Linked DNA regions of Notamacropus eugenii. The main gene of each other region encodes a partner of the protein of the gene in region 2 in a complex. Links are inferred from orthologs where the notes say so. Each region holds a gene or a part of one and is shown on either strand. Other genes may lie near its edges.

Region 1 (7,948 bases), on a different chromosome or scaffold from region 2:
CCGGGCGAGGGCACACGAGGGGGGCGCACGCCCGCGGAGGGGGGTGCCCTCCCTCCTGTGGGGGGGTCCCTGGAGCCTGGCCCTGGGTGAGGGCACACGGGGGGGGGGGGCGCCCTCCCTTCTGGGGGGGTCCCTGGAGCCTGGCCCCGGGCGAGGGCACACGAGGGGGGCGCACGCCCGCGGAGGGGGGTGCCCTCCCTCCTGTGGGGGGGTCCCTGGAGCCTGGCCCTGGGTGAGGGCACACGGGGGGGGGGGGCGCCCTCCCTTCTGGGGGGGTCCCTGGAGCCTGGCCCCGGGCGAGAGCACACGAGGGGGGCGCCCTCCCTTCTGGGGGGGTCCCTGGAGCCTGGCCCCAGGCGAGGGCACACGAGGGGGGCGCCCTCCCTTCTGGGGGGGTCCCTGGAGCCTGGCCCCGGGCGAGGGCACACGAGGGGGGCGCCCTCCCTTCTGGGGGGGGTCCCTGGAGCCTGGCCCCGGGCGAGGGCACACGAGGGGGGCGCCCTCCCTTCTGGGGGGGTCCCTGGAGCCTGGCCCCGGGCGAGAGCACACGAGGGGGGCGCCCTCCCTTCTGGGGGGGTCCCTGGAGCCTGGCCCCGGGCGAGGGCACCACAGGGGGTGCCCTCCCTCCCGGCCCCCACTCACCGGTTAAGGAAGGCGTTGCCGAAGGCGTTGAGCTTGCGGAAGGGCCGGCGCGGGTCCACCACCAGCGCGTTGCCCGGCACCACGCCCTCCGAGGCGCCGTGCATGACGGCGATGAAGGAGTCGGTGGTGGGCTCGGGCCCGATGCGCATGCCGGGGAAGTCCTGCTCGATGAGGTGCCGGATGAAGGTGGTCTTGCCCGTGCTGTACTGGCCCACCAGCAGCACCATGGGCTTGTTGTCGAAGTCGGCGTCCTCGAGCGCGGGCGAGTGGAAGTCGTGGAAGCGGTAGTGCTCCTCCAGCGGCAGCAGCTTCTGCGCGTACAGCTGCCGCAGCCCCTCGGCCACCGTCTGGAAGAGCTCGGGCTCCTTCTTGCGCCGCGCATCCTTGTTCACCCAGCTGAACATGGTGACGAGGCCGGCGGCCGACGCTGCGCGGGGAAGCGGGCCCGTGAGGCGGGCCGCGGAGAGGGAGGAGCGGCGGCGACGGCGGCCCGGCTCTGGCCCCTACCGCGCCCCCTCCGCAGCGCGCAGGCGCACACACAACCGCCCGACCCGGCCCGCCCCCGCCGCCGAATGAGAGCGCGCCTCCTCCGGCCGCCTCTTTTATAGGCGGCCTGGAACGGGGGCGGAGCCCAAGCCGCCCGTGGCCTTCGCGCGCGCCCGCCCGGCCGAGGGGCCGCAGCGCCACGTCCTCCCCCGCCTCCCATTGGCCCGGGGCAAGTCTCGCGACGTTGCCTGCTGGCTCGTAGCCGAGGAGGCTACCGAGGCAAGGGCGCCGTTTCTCCCCACCCCCACCGCCTATTCCTTGGGGGAGGGGGGGGCGGGGTTGAGGACCGCGCGTGCGCAGGAGAGGGAAAAGACCCTAGGGCCAGATCGAGACGCGGAGGCGGGGCTTTTTGTGTTTTCCTCCGCCCCGCCCACTCGGCTCCTGTCAACCTCCCCGCTGCCCCGAGTGCCACTCTCGGATCACGTGTCCCAAGCCACCCTGGGCTCTGTCCTAGGTCCGCTCCTAGACCTGCGCTTGCCTATCAGCCACTCCCCAGCCCCCTCCCCTTACAGTTAGGGAAACTGAGGCCCGGGACAGGGAAACGACTTATCCAAAGTCATACATGAGACCAGACCAAGAAGGGGCTCTGGCCCCTCAGTTTACACTTCGGGAAACTGAGGCTCACTGCGCCCCCCTCTGACAGATCCGGATTCTAAAGCCCCGAGAGAGGAGAGGACTTGGCCAAGGTCACACCTACAGTGCCCCTTGATGCCCCCCCGTGTGACCTTGGGTCAGTCTTTCCCCCTCCAGCCTCTGATCACCCATCTAACGCAAGGTGGGACAGACAATAAAGGACCTGGAGTCAGGAAGACCCGAGTTCAGACCCTCTCCTGCGCAGGCACTTAACTTCTCAGCCTCAGTTTGTTCGTCAGTAAAAAAGAAAGGGGGGGGGGTGGAACAGTAACAGCCTCCATCTCCACCATGGGTCCAAGGAGCTAGCCCAGTCAAGGGCACCGCCTGACACCCCGAGGTCGGGGCTGCTTCTAGAGAGAGGCAGAGTTGGGGGGATGATCTCCCAGCTCTAAATTCCCCAAATGCAAAAGTACCCAAGAGCCCCAGGGGCTCTTCTGGATTCTCCCTCTGTGTCCGTCAGTCCCTCCTCCCACCCTCCCCATCTTTACCCTATGTCCTCTCCTAGGATATAATATCCAAAAGGTGGGACAGGTGAGAAAGAGTCAAGAAAGGGGGCAGAGGAGGAGTAGAGAAGGAGGCGAAGTCAAGTGGAATGGAGGCGAGGTACACAGCAGGTGTTGAGTTAGACTGTGAAAAGTGAGAAGGAAGGACAGAAAAGCAGAGAAAGCCAAGCTGGATGGGCAGGTGATTTTTTTGAATCCTCTAGGTCTGAGACATTTGGGAGAGAAAATGAAACAAGAGGGGCAGGGGAATTACAGACTGACCTGATTCTGCACGAAGAAGGAGCTTAATAAGTGTTGGGTGAGTGCATGAGTGAGTGAATGAATGAAAGAAAAGTGTGCCTGTGTGTGAAAGGAGCCTGTTGAGTTTTGAGGAACTAGGTTTGGAAATTCCCCTCCTCAGTGTGGGAGGGAAGGGGAAAAGGTCTGGGGAAATAATCAAATTTCCTGGGTAATCCAAAAGACCAAGGAAATCTAAACCACTTCTGCTTTTGCGCCTGTTCTCACTTTGTCCTCCCTTTGACTCTTGACCCAGTAGCTCCCTTACCGGTTCCTGGCTCTTCCATTGTGCTGATAATTCCACCACCATCCCCAGAATTGCATAGCCCCACATCCACTGCCTCTGGGGTGGGCAGCAACAGGGGGTTGGGCCCAGGTGGAAGCCCCAGGTATGATGTCAGAGTCCTGGGAACCGGGATTGTTAGATCAACAGAGGGGGTGCCAGGCAGCGGCTTCCTCTGGGGAAACAGAAGGAGGGGAGAGTGTGGAGCCACTCCTGGGGCTGTTCCTTGCCTCAGGTATAGCAGGAACAACAACTAACTCAAGAAAGAGACAAGGATCTTGGGAGGGGAGAGAATGGGAAGGGACACATTAATTCTAGGAGGGAAAATGGGTCAGAGAAAAAATATTGAATTAAGGGAGACTTGAGGCCAGTTGCTTCTTTCTTCTTCATCACTGAGATGATCACAGGCTTATGTTACAAAATCATCTCCCTGATACCCACCACCCAAAATCATCTTCCTAATGTCCACCCTTCAAAAATTTTTCCTAATGCTCACCCCCACAAAAAAAAAAAAAAGCTGACCAGGTTACTCCCCTGCTCAGAAAACCTCAGTGACTCCCTATGGCCTCTGGGATAACATACAACCTGTCTGGCATTTAAAATCAGTCAATAAGCATTTATTAAATTAATAAGGAAATGAGGAACCAAAAGTCAAGGTGCTAGAAGTAAGGTGTTCAGTAAATACCTACGATGTGCCAAGCACTGTGCTAAGTGTTCGGGGTGCAAAGAAAGCAAAAGACAGGCCTTGCCCTCCAGGACCTCAGAGTCTGATGGGGAGACAACAGCAGACAACTGTACCAGGCAGCCTAAGTCAGAAAATGATCACCAGAAGGAAAGCTCTAGAGTTGAGAGGGACCAGGAAAGAAAAGGCTCCCTATGGAAGATGGGGTTTGGGGTGGGGACATGAAAAAGGAATCTAGGAGAAGAGATGAGGAGAGCGAGGATTCTGGGCACGGGAGATGGCAGGCAAAAATACCCTTATCTAAGAAGTGCAGTCCTTCACAATCTTCCTCCACTCTCTTTAAAAAAAAATTTCACATTGGTGCTGGCCTTAGAATCAGGAAGACCTGTGTTCAAATGTGGCCTCAGACACTTACTAGCAGTGTGACCTTGGGCAAGTCTCTTCACCCTGTCTGCCTCAGTTTCCTCATCTGTAAAATGAGGGTAATAATATCATCTTTCTTCCAGGGCTCTTGTGAGCATCAATGAGTTAATAATGGTCAAGTGCTTGGTACAATGCTTGGCACATTGTGAGAGCTGTGTTAGCTCTTAGGTGAGAGACTGTGCTATCAGGAAACAGTGGAGACCATCTGAAGTTGTTGTTCATTTTCTGCTGTCCCAGGGCCAGGGAATGGGATTTCTGAACATAGGACAGTGGTCTGGGCCACAGGAATTGCAAAGTAGGACCCCAGACTGGGATTGGCAGCCAGTGCAGCTTCAATGTCCCAAAGAGAAACCTTCGGGACCCTGACTCTGCAGAAGGACTCTCCTGGGATGAGTGCCACATCTGGACATGAACTATGGGACCAAAACAATGAAGGAACATAGTTAAGTTTTGTGCCTTCTCCAGAGGCCAAGGTGATGTAGGAGAGAGACATCCCAAAGGCATGAGGAGGAATGTCTGAACATTTGTTCTTGTTATAGCTTTGAAATAAACTGGTGTTGTTCAATTGTGTCTGACTCTTCATGAACTCTTTTGGGGGTTCTCTTGGCAAAGATACTGGAGTGGTTTGCCAATTCCTTCTTCAGTTCATTTTACAGATGAGAAAACTGAGGCAAACAGAGTTAAATGACTTGCCCAGGGTTACCCAGCTAGTAAGTGCCTGAGGCCAGATTTGAACTGAGATCTTCCTGACTGTAGGCTTGGCACTCTATCCACTGCACCAACAGACACCTAGCTGTGTGTAAATGGCTAAATTGAATTGGGGTGCTAGTCACTGGCCCCTAACAAATGGAAAGAACACAGCCAGTGAGGGCTCATCCTGGGCAGGAAAGAAGAAACCCTACCAGGTACCCAAGAATCCCATAAGGATTTTCTAGCAGGCCTGGTTAAAGGGGACTGGGTCAGAATGTAGACACACTAACAGTAACTCAAAAGGCCATTGACTTGAAAGGGAATCCACAAATGACAACAGATAGGAATCAAGCCACAACACACCCTCCCAATCTTCTAGGGAATTTAGGTCATGCTTTCTCAAGTTATTTCTCACACTCCCTCATTGGTGGTAAGAAACTAGTAGATTAGGGAGAACAGGTTTCAAGAACTCTTCTCCAAGGCTTCGCCAACCACAGAGGCCAGGGCTGGAGCTCAGCAGTCCAAGGGAAGAAAGCTGGCTAATCTCCTGACTTGTGCCTCTGAAGCTCTGATGACTATGGCAGCTGATCCAACATGCCCAGTTGGTACCACTCAGCCTGGAAGCGGCAGAAAGGTTCCTGCTGGCAACAGCAAGAGGCCCTTGAGTTTCTGAGGTACCTTCCTGGCTGGCCCTCCATTTGGTTCTGTCTGCTCAGACCCTGCTGGGATTTTCCCACTTCCCATCTCTCTTATGAGAAAGTTCACACCAAGCCTGTCTCAGGCAAGCCCACCAAGGCTCCACCCTACCAGACCCAGAGTAGGTGATGTTGTCATCAGCTGAATGCTACACAGGCGTTTCAAGGATAACATATTCTCCCTTCCCCTATAGACAGTTAGTCAGTCAGTCAGTTAACAGCCACTCCAGAATGTGGCGGTCACCCTGTTAAGAGTTGAGGCTAAAGGCCAAAAGCAGCCTGTGCCCTTAAGCAATGGGAGATACAACATGTAAATAACAAGGTACATTCAAGGAATATGCAGAATTAATGAAAGGTCATCTGAAAGAGGAAGACAGTTATTAGCAACTGGGGGGAGGACTAGGAGGAGCCTTCTGCTGAGCTGAGTCTGGAGAGAAGCCAAGGAAACTAAAAGGCAAAGATGGGGAGGGAGGGCATTCCAGGCATGGGGTTTAGCCAGTGCAAAGGCAGGGTGATGGGAGATGGAGGGTCATATGAGAGGAAGAGCAAGAAGGCCAGTATAGCTAGATAGTAGAGTACATAGAAGGGAGAAGGTGCAAGAAGATAGGAAGGGGAAGGGTCATGAAAGGCTTTGAAGTCCAGTCAGAGGAGGTGGTATTGATCCTGGAGGTTATGGCTTCTCTTTCCCTCCCAGTGGCCCCACTTCCCCCCATCTCCCTTCTGGGGTCACTGGATTGAGCAGGGGGTGGGGTGACATGCTCAGGCTACAAGTGACAAAAATCAGCTCATCAGCTGGGCTCAGACAGATGGGAGAGAGGGATAAAGAGAATATTGAAAAGATTGGGTGAGAGGTGACCAGGGCCTGAACGTGGGGTGTGGCTGTATGAGCAGAGGAAGGAGATGTTGTGAGCGCAGAAATAACAGAATTTGCCAAGACATAGGATGTGTGGCTTGAGGAGGTGTGAGAAGTTGGGGGAGGGTGGCGGTACCTTTGATAATAATAAGGAAGTTCAGAAGGGGAAGGCGGGGTGCAGGGGGAAGCTAAATGAGTTTTAATTTGAACATGTTGAATTTGAGACATCCAGAATGCAACTGGAGGCACATGACCCATAAAGAGGTCAGGCCTAGACATAGAAATCTGGGCATTGTCTTCATAGAAATGGTCGTTGAACCCATGGGAACCAATGAGAATAAAGAGAAAGGAGGCCCCAGGACAGAGCTGTGGGGCCTCTTGTGCATGGTTAGAGAATAAAGAATTAGCAAAGGAGACTGCAAAGGGGATTCTCAGAGAGGAAACAAGAGAACCAGGAGAGAAATATGTCAAGAAGACCTAAAGAAGAGAGAGCGCCCAGGAGGACAGGGTGATGCACCAGGCTCCTCCATCAACAAACTTCTTTCATTCCAACCCAACCAAGGGCAATCCTAGCTCCAGCTTGCTTTCCTTTAGTCTTTCCTTCTCCTGACCCCATTCAAAGGCCCCTAAGAAATTCTTGGGCCAATTCCTCTTTATCTATCTTCCCTTAGCTTCTTTCTTCTCTCTTCTCATCCCAGTGGAATGCTGGCTCCTTGCAGATGGGGTCATACTCCAGTACTCTCGAGGTAAGGCTCATTATCCTGCCTCCAAGGATAAAGAAGGACACAGTTTTAAGTCTTTCCTCCTTGTTTGAAGTCCATGCCATCTGTCCATCCACCCAAAGCACCTTTGAATCATCACAGGGAGTACTGGCAGTCCCTGTCTCTACTTCTACTTTCTCCTCTTTTTACATATTTTTCCCCAGTGAAGTTCCCCATACCTGACATTCCAGCTATCACCTCCCCATGGGTGACTTCCCAGACTAGATCACCCCAATCCTCCCATCCCATGTTTACAGCCAACAGTTCTCAAACTTAAATACATCATCTTCTCCCTCATCCCACTTCTGAGAAGGGTACCACGAGGCTCCTTATCACTCAGGCTTGAAAGGTTGCAATCATCTTTCATCTGTTCCCCTAAAAACCAATCAATCATGGAATTTTAGATGCTCAAGTTTGGAGCTCAGAAGAGAGGTATAGATTTGGGAGCCATCTGTGGAGAGGCTGTGACTGAGATTGGGGGATTGAAAGAAGCTTCCAAAGGAAAAAAATGGAAAGAGACAGGAACAGAGCTTTGGAAACTTCCTTTCTCCCAGAGCTAGAAATAGCAAACACTGAAGGACGCAGAAGATGGATGGAGAGAAGTAGAAGAACCAGGGCTATGGGGTAGTGAGCATCCAAGAGGACAGGGTGATGGGGCGGTGAGTGTTTGGGAGGAATTGTGGGGGGAAATTCACTAAAACATCCATTATTTTGATTCAGGAATTCCAGGGCTAGTCAGTGACCAAAGGAAAGGCTCCATGGGCACCATAATATTGAGAGAAATACTTTTTGTGAAAGCAAAGGTCCACTGATTCAGGAAATGGCCAAACCAGTTGTGGTGTGTGACTGTAGGAGGGCAGGACTGTGCATAAGAAATGACAAACGTGATGAATGCAGACAAGCTTAGAAAGATTTCTGTGAACTGATTCAGGGCGCATCCAGCAGAACCAGGAACACAAGA
Region 2 (6,918 bases):
CCCACAAACACATATGTGCCACGCACCATACAAGACCTGGCTGCACACAGACATTTCTCCATCAGCTAGATCCCCCATCAGTCTGTAACCAGAGCAAGCTCCCTGTGCTAGGGAGCCTTGAGCCCCACAGACTGCTCTCATCTGCTCCCCTTACTGCACCTTACTATTTTGTCCAAGACAATATTGGCCTAAATTTCCTCCTTACCCACAGGGGCAGGACAGGGGCCTTCACAGCCCTTCAAAGTCTCACTCAAGGCTCTCCCAGACCCAGCCTACCACTCCCTGTGGGAGGGGCCTAGACCCCAGAGGAGCCTCCCCCTTCCCAAACAGTTCATTTGTTCAGGGGTAAGAATGCCAGGGCTAGCCAGGGAGGGAGAAGAGGTCTATACACCTGGTAGAAGCAGAGCACAGAAGTGCCCTTTAACCAGATGTTGTGAAACCAACTAACTTTTTACACACACACACACACACACACACACTCACATACACACATTCACACTAGATACTTGACACTGGGGGAAAGGAAGGCAAGAGAGAATCACTGACTCCTACTGCCAGAAGACCATCAGGGAGCATCCACATTGGCACCTCTGACATACAGCCTGGTGTGGCTTGGCACAGTACCAGAAGATCCCAGGGGCCAACCTGGTTCTGATACTTCCTGGGACCTCAGGCAGGAGGAAACCTGTGAGAAGAAAGCCATGGGTTTGGATCCTAACTCCCATGCTTTGGTCCCTTGGGCACCTTGTATCTCTGGTGTCCAGGTCAGGAGCTGAAAGCTTATCAGCAGCATCTGAGGATATTGAGTTGGAAAGGACTTCAGTGGCCAACTCTCTCACTTTTACAGATGGAGAAACACAGGCCCAGATAAAACGACTTCCCTCCTCTCACAGAATTCTGGATTTTTATCTTCATTCACTCACAGATTCTTGCCCTTGTCCATGAGAATGAGGATGGTCAAAGGGTCAGCCTTTCTGGCCCAACTCTGCTATTGATCTCAGAATCTTAAGGAACAGGAGGAAGGGACTTCCCCAATGTCACCCAGCAAGCTAATGGCAGGGCCCTGAGTTCCTGGGCCCCCCAGCAAAGTGCTTTCTCTGTGCCAGATTGACTGGTTCTAAGACCCTGATCGGCAGTGCAAAGGACCAAGCAGGGCACCTGAGTTCTGGTCTCAGTTTGGCCCCTAATGGGCCATGTGACTTTAAACACAGTCTTAGGCTCAGAGGCCTTCCCAGGCATCTAACCCAACCTTGAATTTTTACAGATAAGGAAACAGAAAATTACACACAGCTGGCAAGGCCTTCAGAAGCCCTGGAGCCCAACTCCCTCCGAGAGCGCCCAGGGTTCAAACGCTACTTCTGACACTTGGGACCCTCAGGAACCCATTCAGGCTCATCAGGCCTCAGTTTCCCCCTCTGTAAAATGCTGGGTGGCCTCTGAGGCTTCCTCCAAATCTTAAACTCTGTCTTCTACATCAGAGGTGTCGGACACACTGCCTACAACCTTCCAGAGGGCAGCCAAGTCAGATTAAAATCCAATTGGAAAATATTTAACCAAAAAAATTTACAATAAAACGTAGATAGCATTAGATTTTAAAACTAAGTCCATCTGTGGCCCACAGGGTTTGGCCTCAGCAGCCTCTGCCTTGGGCCCTGGGTGCCCCATCTGCACATACAGAGTTTAGACCAGATCTCCGAACCCCTGCTTGGAGCTGGGGCTGCTCCTGCCTCCGGGTGGTAGCCCATCTGCTGACCCACCTGGGGAGAGTGACCTCGGGAAGCGGCCGGAGGATCTGAGCAAGGCTTCGGGAACCTGACGGGCGGCTCGGCACCTCTCCCTCTCCCACACACTCACAGTCACACTCCCACAGTCTCACACACAGTCACCACACACACACACACACACTCTCACACTCACTCTCATACACACTCACGCTCGCACACTACACACACTCACTAGTCTCTCCCACGCCCTCCCAAAGGCACAGGAGGGGTCCCGCGCCCCCGTCGCCGCCCCCCCCCCGGCCCGCGGCTCGGCGCACACCGGGAGGTCGCGCGCGGTTCCCACGGCCTCCGGACCAAACGAAACTGACGAGCCTCTCTGCAGCCCCGCCCCGCAGGCCGGGTCCCCAGCCCGCCTGGCCCCGGCTCGAGGCGGGGGCGCACTGCCCCCTCCCCCCTCCTGCTCCCCGGCCCCCATCCCCCCGCGCTCACAGCAGCTCGGGCCGGTGCCGGTGCAGCAGGGCGCAGAAGGCCAGGCCGTCCCGGAAGGAGCCGCTCAGGTCCCGGATCTCCACGCCGGGGTAGCCGCGGCACTGCTGACGGCACCAGGCCAGCAGCGCGGCCCGGGGCCCGGCCATGGCCCGGCCGCCGCCTCCTCCTCGGACTGGACCCCACGGCAGCCCCGCTCCGGCCGCTCGGGCTCGGGCTCCAGGGCTGGGCTCTCTGTCGGCTCGGGCTCCTCCTCCTCCTCCCCCTCCCCCTCCTCCTGCCCCTCCCCCCGGCCCTGCTCAGACCTGTCCGGCCCCGCCCCGCCCCGCCCGGCGCTTACTCACGCGCCCCGCCCGGCCCGGCTCGGCGCACGGGGCGGGGCAGGGGGCGGAGGAGGCAGGGGGGACCGGGGGCCCACCCTCACCCCGCATCCCCCCTGGAGAGGCACCGCAGACCTCCCCCGCTCCCTCCCTCCAGCCCCGCGGGGGCCCCCCCAACTCCCGAGGTGCACGTGCCCGAGGGATCCCCCGGGGCCCCAGACCGACCGCGCCGGGGCTACCCTACCCTGAGGGCTCCCCGCTGCAGAGAGGAGCCGCCCCTGCACGGACACCCGAGGGACGGAGCCCCCGACGTCCCCACCAGGGCCTGATAAAGCCGAAGGGCCCCCCTTCCTCCTCGAGGCGGGCGAGAACTTCCTTCCTGGAATACCCTTTGCGCCCTCCTAAGGATGCCCGGCACGAGCCCTCCCCCTCCCAGGCCCGGGAGCCCCTCGCTGGCCTCGGGAACATCCTCCTCCAGGATCCGCCAAGTACCCCCCTCCTCCCGGCCTCCGCCCCCCAGCTCAGCCTGGTCTCCTCCCTGACGCCAGAGAGCGGCCCCCGAGGTGGGAGGCTGAACACGCGCACGGAGACAGGGGGTTCGGTAACCAGGACGTGGAGGAGCCTGGAGTCCGAGGGCTAGCCCTGCGGCTTGCACCTTACACGGCCTCTCGGGCCTCCGTTTCCCCGTCTGCACAATGAAAGGGCTGGCCTCTGAGATCTCCAGCTCCAGCTCTGGGGTCCGATGGCCCTAACCAAGCCTTCTTTCCCTCGCTGAGTCTCCATTTCCCCCTCAAGATCCCTCCCAGCTCTAAAAACTAGGATCCTCTAATGACTGCTTAATACTATAAGGATAATACTATACTAACATTTACCCAGGACTTACTGCTGATGTGCAAAGCCTTGGACCTACCAAAGTGAAAACCAGCAACAGTCTTTGCCCTGAGGGAGTTAATAAGCCTAATTGTGGGGAAGCAATAATATATACTTGAATTAGTATAGTACAGAATGTCCTAAAAGTCTTAGTGCAGTTTAAACTCATAAAAAAAGAGCGAGTGCAGAAGCTGCACTCAAACTTTTGGGACAGATCTAGTGTGTTGGAGACAAAATGCTTCTTTGGTTTGGGCAGCCCTGAAACTTTCAGTTGGACTAGGACCAAGGAAGCCTTCCTAGACAAGGTGGTCCTGAGCTGGACTTTTGGGGAAAAAGTTGTCACCAGGCCAAGCTGAGGATGGAGCACTTATCAGGCTGGAGAGGGATAGACTGTGCATGCATGAAAGGGATAAGATGAGAGCTATAGTAATGCTCCTGGAGTGGGCAAAGGGAATACTGTGAAAGAAAGCTGGAAAGGGGGATCGGAAGCCAGGCTAAGGTTTTTGTATTTTATACTCCACTAGCCCATCCCTGTAACTTTCAGGACCAAAGTTCCCCTCCTTGCCCACCACTGTGCTTGGCATGTAGACCAGGCTTAAAAAATGCTTTGACTTTCATTCTTTTATCCTGGAGGCAAGATCGAACCAATGAAGTTTAAGGAGTTAGGGAGTGACCTGGTCAGATTCATTTGGGGCCAAGTGCACCTTTTCTATGACTGGTAGATGGTTCTTGAGAGTCCCAGAGACTAACAACTATATCCTACTGTCGCTTAGCAAGGCTGGTCATTGGATTAGTCATACACTGTCACCAGGGCCCTTAGAATCTATGCCCTAGATCATTCTTGGTTTGTCTTATCTCCAGGTCTATGGTGACCTTCAGACGAGAATGGACAAAACCCAGCCATTATAAATTGTAAAGCTGCAAGCCACTACTAATAACAATGGCTATGATAAGCCAAACCACTACTAACAACAAACCACCATTTATAGCAAGTCCTTAGTGCTCGAGTAGGGGGAGAGATTTGCCCACTGTTATAAGATCAGAAATCTAAAGCTGGAAGGAACTTCAGCATCCCTCTAGTCCAGGCGTAGGGAACCTGCAGCCTCGAGGACCTCAAGTGTAATCCAAACTTCACAGCACAAATTCCCTTCATAAAAGGATTTGTTCTGTAAACACTGATTCAGTCAAAAGGTTGCACCCAAGGACCTAGAGAGCCACAGGTGGCCTTGAGGCTGCAAGTTCCCTACCCTTGATTCTAGGCTAACATCTTCAGTTTACAGAGGAAACTGAGGCTCAGGGAGCTGAAGAGATTTGCCCAGGGTCACTCAGGTAATAAATGTCAGGGATGGAATTAGCAGAGACAGAGCAGCTAGGTGGCTCAGTAGATAGAGTACCAGGCCTGGAGTCAGGGAGACTCATCCTTGTGAGTTCAAATCTGGCCTCAGATACTTATTAGCTGTGTGACTCTGGGAGAATCATTTGACTCAGTTTCCTCATTTGTAAGAAGAACTGGAGAAAGAAATGGTAAACCAACTCCAGTAGCTTTGCCAAGAAAACCCCAAATGGGGTCATAAAAAGTCAGACAGGACTGAACCCAACTGAACAACAACATGGAATTAGCACTCAGACCTTCTGATTACTAAATGAGGTGTTTTTCCCACTCCACTAACTTCACCTATTATATTATCATCACTCCAGTGATGTCATTCGGATGTGTCTGCTCAGCTGTGCTCCCAATCCCCATTGAGGTTGCTCTTTTAAGCAGGCAGCTGAGTCAGGGAGAAGCCAAGTAAGTGAGCTCCGCACATGGATTTACTGGAGAGGTTTCCCTAGCAATTATCGCATTTATGAAGCCTTTAATCCCAATGTGATGTCACTACCCAAAGGACAATAGGACTCCTTAAATCCATTCAACCAATAGTCATTAAGGTCTGTGCCCAGTGCCATGCTAGATACGGACGACACAGAGGAGGAAATGTGCTGCTCTCCATCATCAAAGCACTTACCACCAAGCAGATGGTGCCCCTCAAACAAGGGAAAGGACCTGAGCAGGACCAGGAGAGCACAGATTCAGAATCAGAGGGCAGAGCCAGAGATCTTTCCACTGTACCACAGATAATGCCTGTAGAGTTTATAAAGTGATTTGCATGTATGGTACAGTGGAAATAGTGCTTCTTTGGGTTAAAATCCTTCTGTCACTGTCTATCACTACATCCCTGAGTCTCAGTATCCTCGTCTATAAGATAAGGATGTTGAACCTCTGAGGAGTCTTCCAGCTGTAGGGTCTTATGACTTCTCTGGGCCTCAGTTTCCCCATTTGTAAGAGGAAGGGGTTGGACTAGAAGGTTTCTGAGGTCCAATTCTGTTTTCCCTTCTTAGGATACCTGCGATATTGCAGGCTCCTGCTCTCACAACCCTCCAGAGAGCAGGTAACCATCTGCTTCTTCCAGGTCTAGATCTGGCATCTCCTTGATGTCCCTTGTGACCTAACTGTGTGGCTTTGGACAAGGCTCTTGTTTCTCTGGCCTTTGATTTCTTTACCTGTAAAATAACAGGAGAAGGTTGGACAAGGTGATCCAGCTCCAGGCTGAAGCAATACAGTGTGACTTCTGTAACATGGAAATCTGATATGGCACTAATGGGCACTGGGCACTGATCCAACCCAATGAGCACTTAGTCAATGCCTACTGTGTGCCCTCAGAGGCTACAAGTTGTAGAGGAGGTGCAGGTCTGTGTTTGTAAAGGGATTTTCCTCACTGGAAGTTCCCTCTGCCAGTGAAATCACAAGTTTGGTTAAAAAACAAATTCTAGATGCTGAAGAAACAAAAGCTAAATAAAACGAGTCCCAGTTTCCTGGAGAGCCCTTTGGAAACCTTAAAGGACTAAAGAAACGGTGTGGGTGCTTTCTCCCTTCTGGAGAGGCCCCCAAGTCAAAATGGAGGGGAACGAAGGAACATGAACCTGTATGTAGAGTCCAAATGCATCAACTCTCATTTTACAGACAAGGAAACTGAGGCCCTCAAGATTCATAGGATCATAATTCAGAACACCTCCAAGGTCCCCTTAACCAACACTCTCATGCATCAGAAGCAGAAGTGGAATCCAGGTCTCCTGACTCCAGAGGCAGTGTTCTTTCCATGGTACAATTGATTAGAATTAAATTGGAGAAGGGAGTAGTTCCTTTGAGCTTCTGTCGATGACAGAAAGTGGGTGAGGAAAGAGCTTGGAGGATGGGAAGTAAAGGCCTTCGACCTGCCCTTGGATCTTCACAGCACCACCAGACCTGTCTCAGAAGGAAACAAAGAGACACACACACAGACACACACACACACACAGACACACACACACAGACACACAGACACACACACACACACACACACACACACACACACACACACACACACACACACACACACACACACACACACACACACACACACACACACACACCCCCAGCAGTGGGTTCCAGGCCACTGAAGAAAACAACCACCTTTCCTACTTGCTTACCAACTCATTAA

What was found.
Region 1: the proteins of MICALL1 (region 2) and EHD1 are in contact, whole or in part, in an NMR structure (PDB 2KSP), measured with the Homo sapiens proteins. The link is inferred for Notamacropus eugenii from reciprocal best matches to the Homo sapiens genes MICALL1 and EHD1. Residues at the interface, in NP_203744.1 of Homo sapiens: Lys422, Tyr424, Asn425, Pro426, Phe427, Glu428, Glu429; in NP_001269373.1 of Homo sapiens: Gly464, Ala467, Lys468, Met471, Asn478, Leu481, Gly482, Trp485, Lys486, Lys492, Asp493, Gly494.

What each region holds. Positions count from the first base shown.
Region 1 is NC_092873.1:17,647,720-17,655,667, forward strand, and holds the start of EHD1 (EH domain-containing protein 1), read right to left. Parts: upstream 3,017-7,948; 5' UTR 2,888-3,016; coding exon 2,869-2,887; intron 2,623-2,868; exon of another isoform or gene 2,528-2,622; intron 1,070-2,527; coding exon 643-1,069; intron 1-642. UniProt on the Homo sapiens protein: ATP- and membrane-binding protein that controls membrane reorganization/tubulation upon ATP hydrolysis. In vitro causes vesiculation of endocytic membranes. Acts in early endocytic membrane fusion and membrane trafficking of recycling endosomes.
Region 2 is NC_092874.1:295,400,705-295,407,622, reverse strand, and holds the start of MICALL1 (MICAL-like protein 1), read right to left. Parts: upstream 3,011-6,918; 5' UTR 2,999-3,010; coding exon 2,775-2,998; intron 2,449-2,774; exon of another isoform or gene 2,360-2,448; coding exon of another isoform or gene 2,214-2,359; intron 1-2,213. UniProt on the Homo sapiens protein: Lipid-binding protein with higher affinity for phosphatidic acid, a lipid enriched in recycling endosome membranes. On endosome membranes, acts as a downstream effector of Rab proteins recruiting cytosolic proteins to regulate membrane tubulation.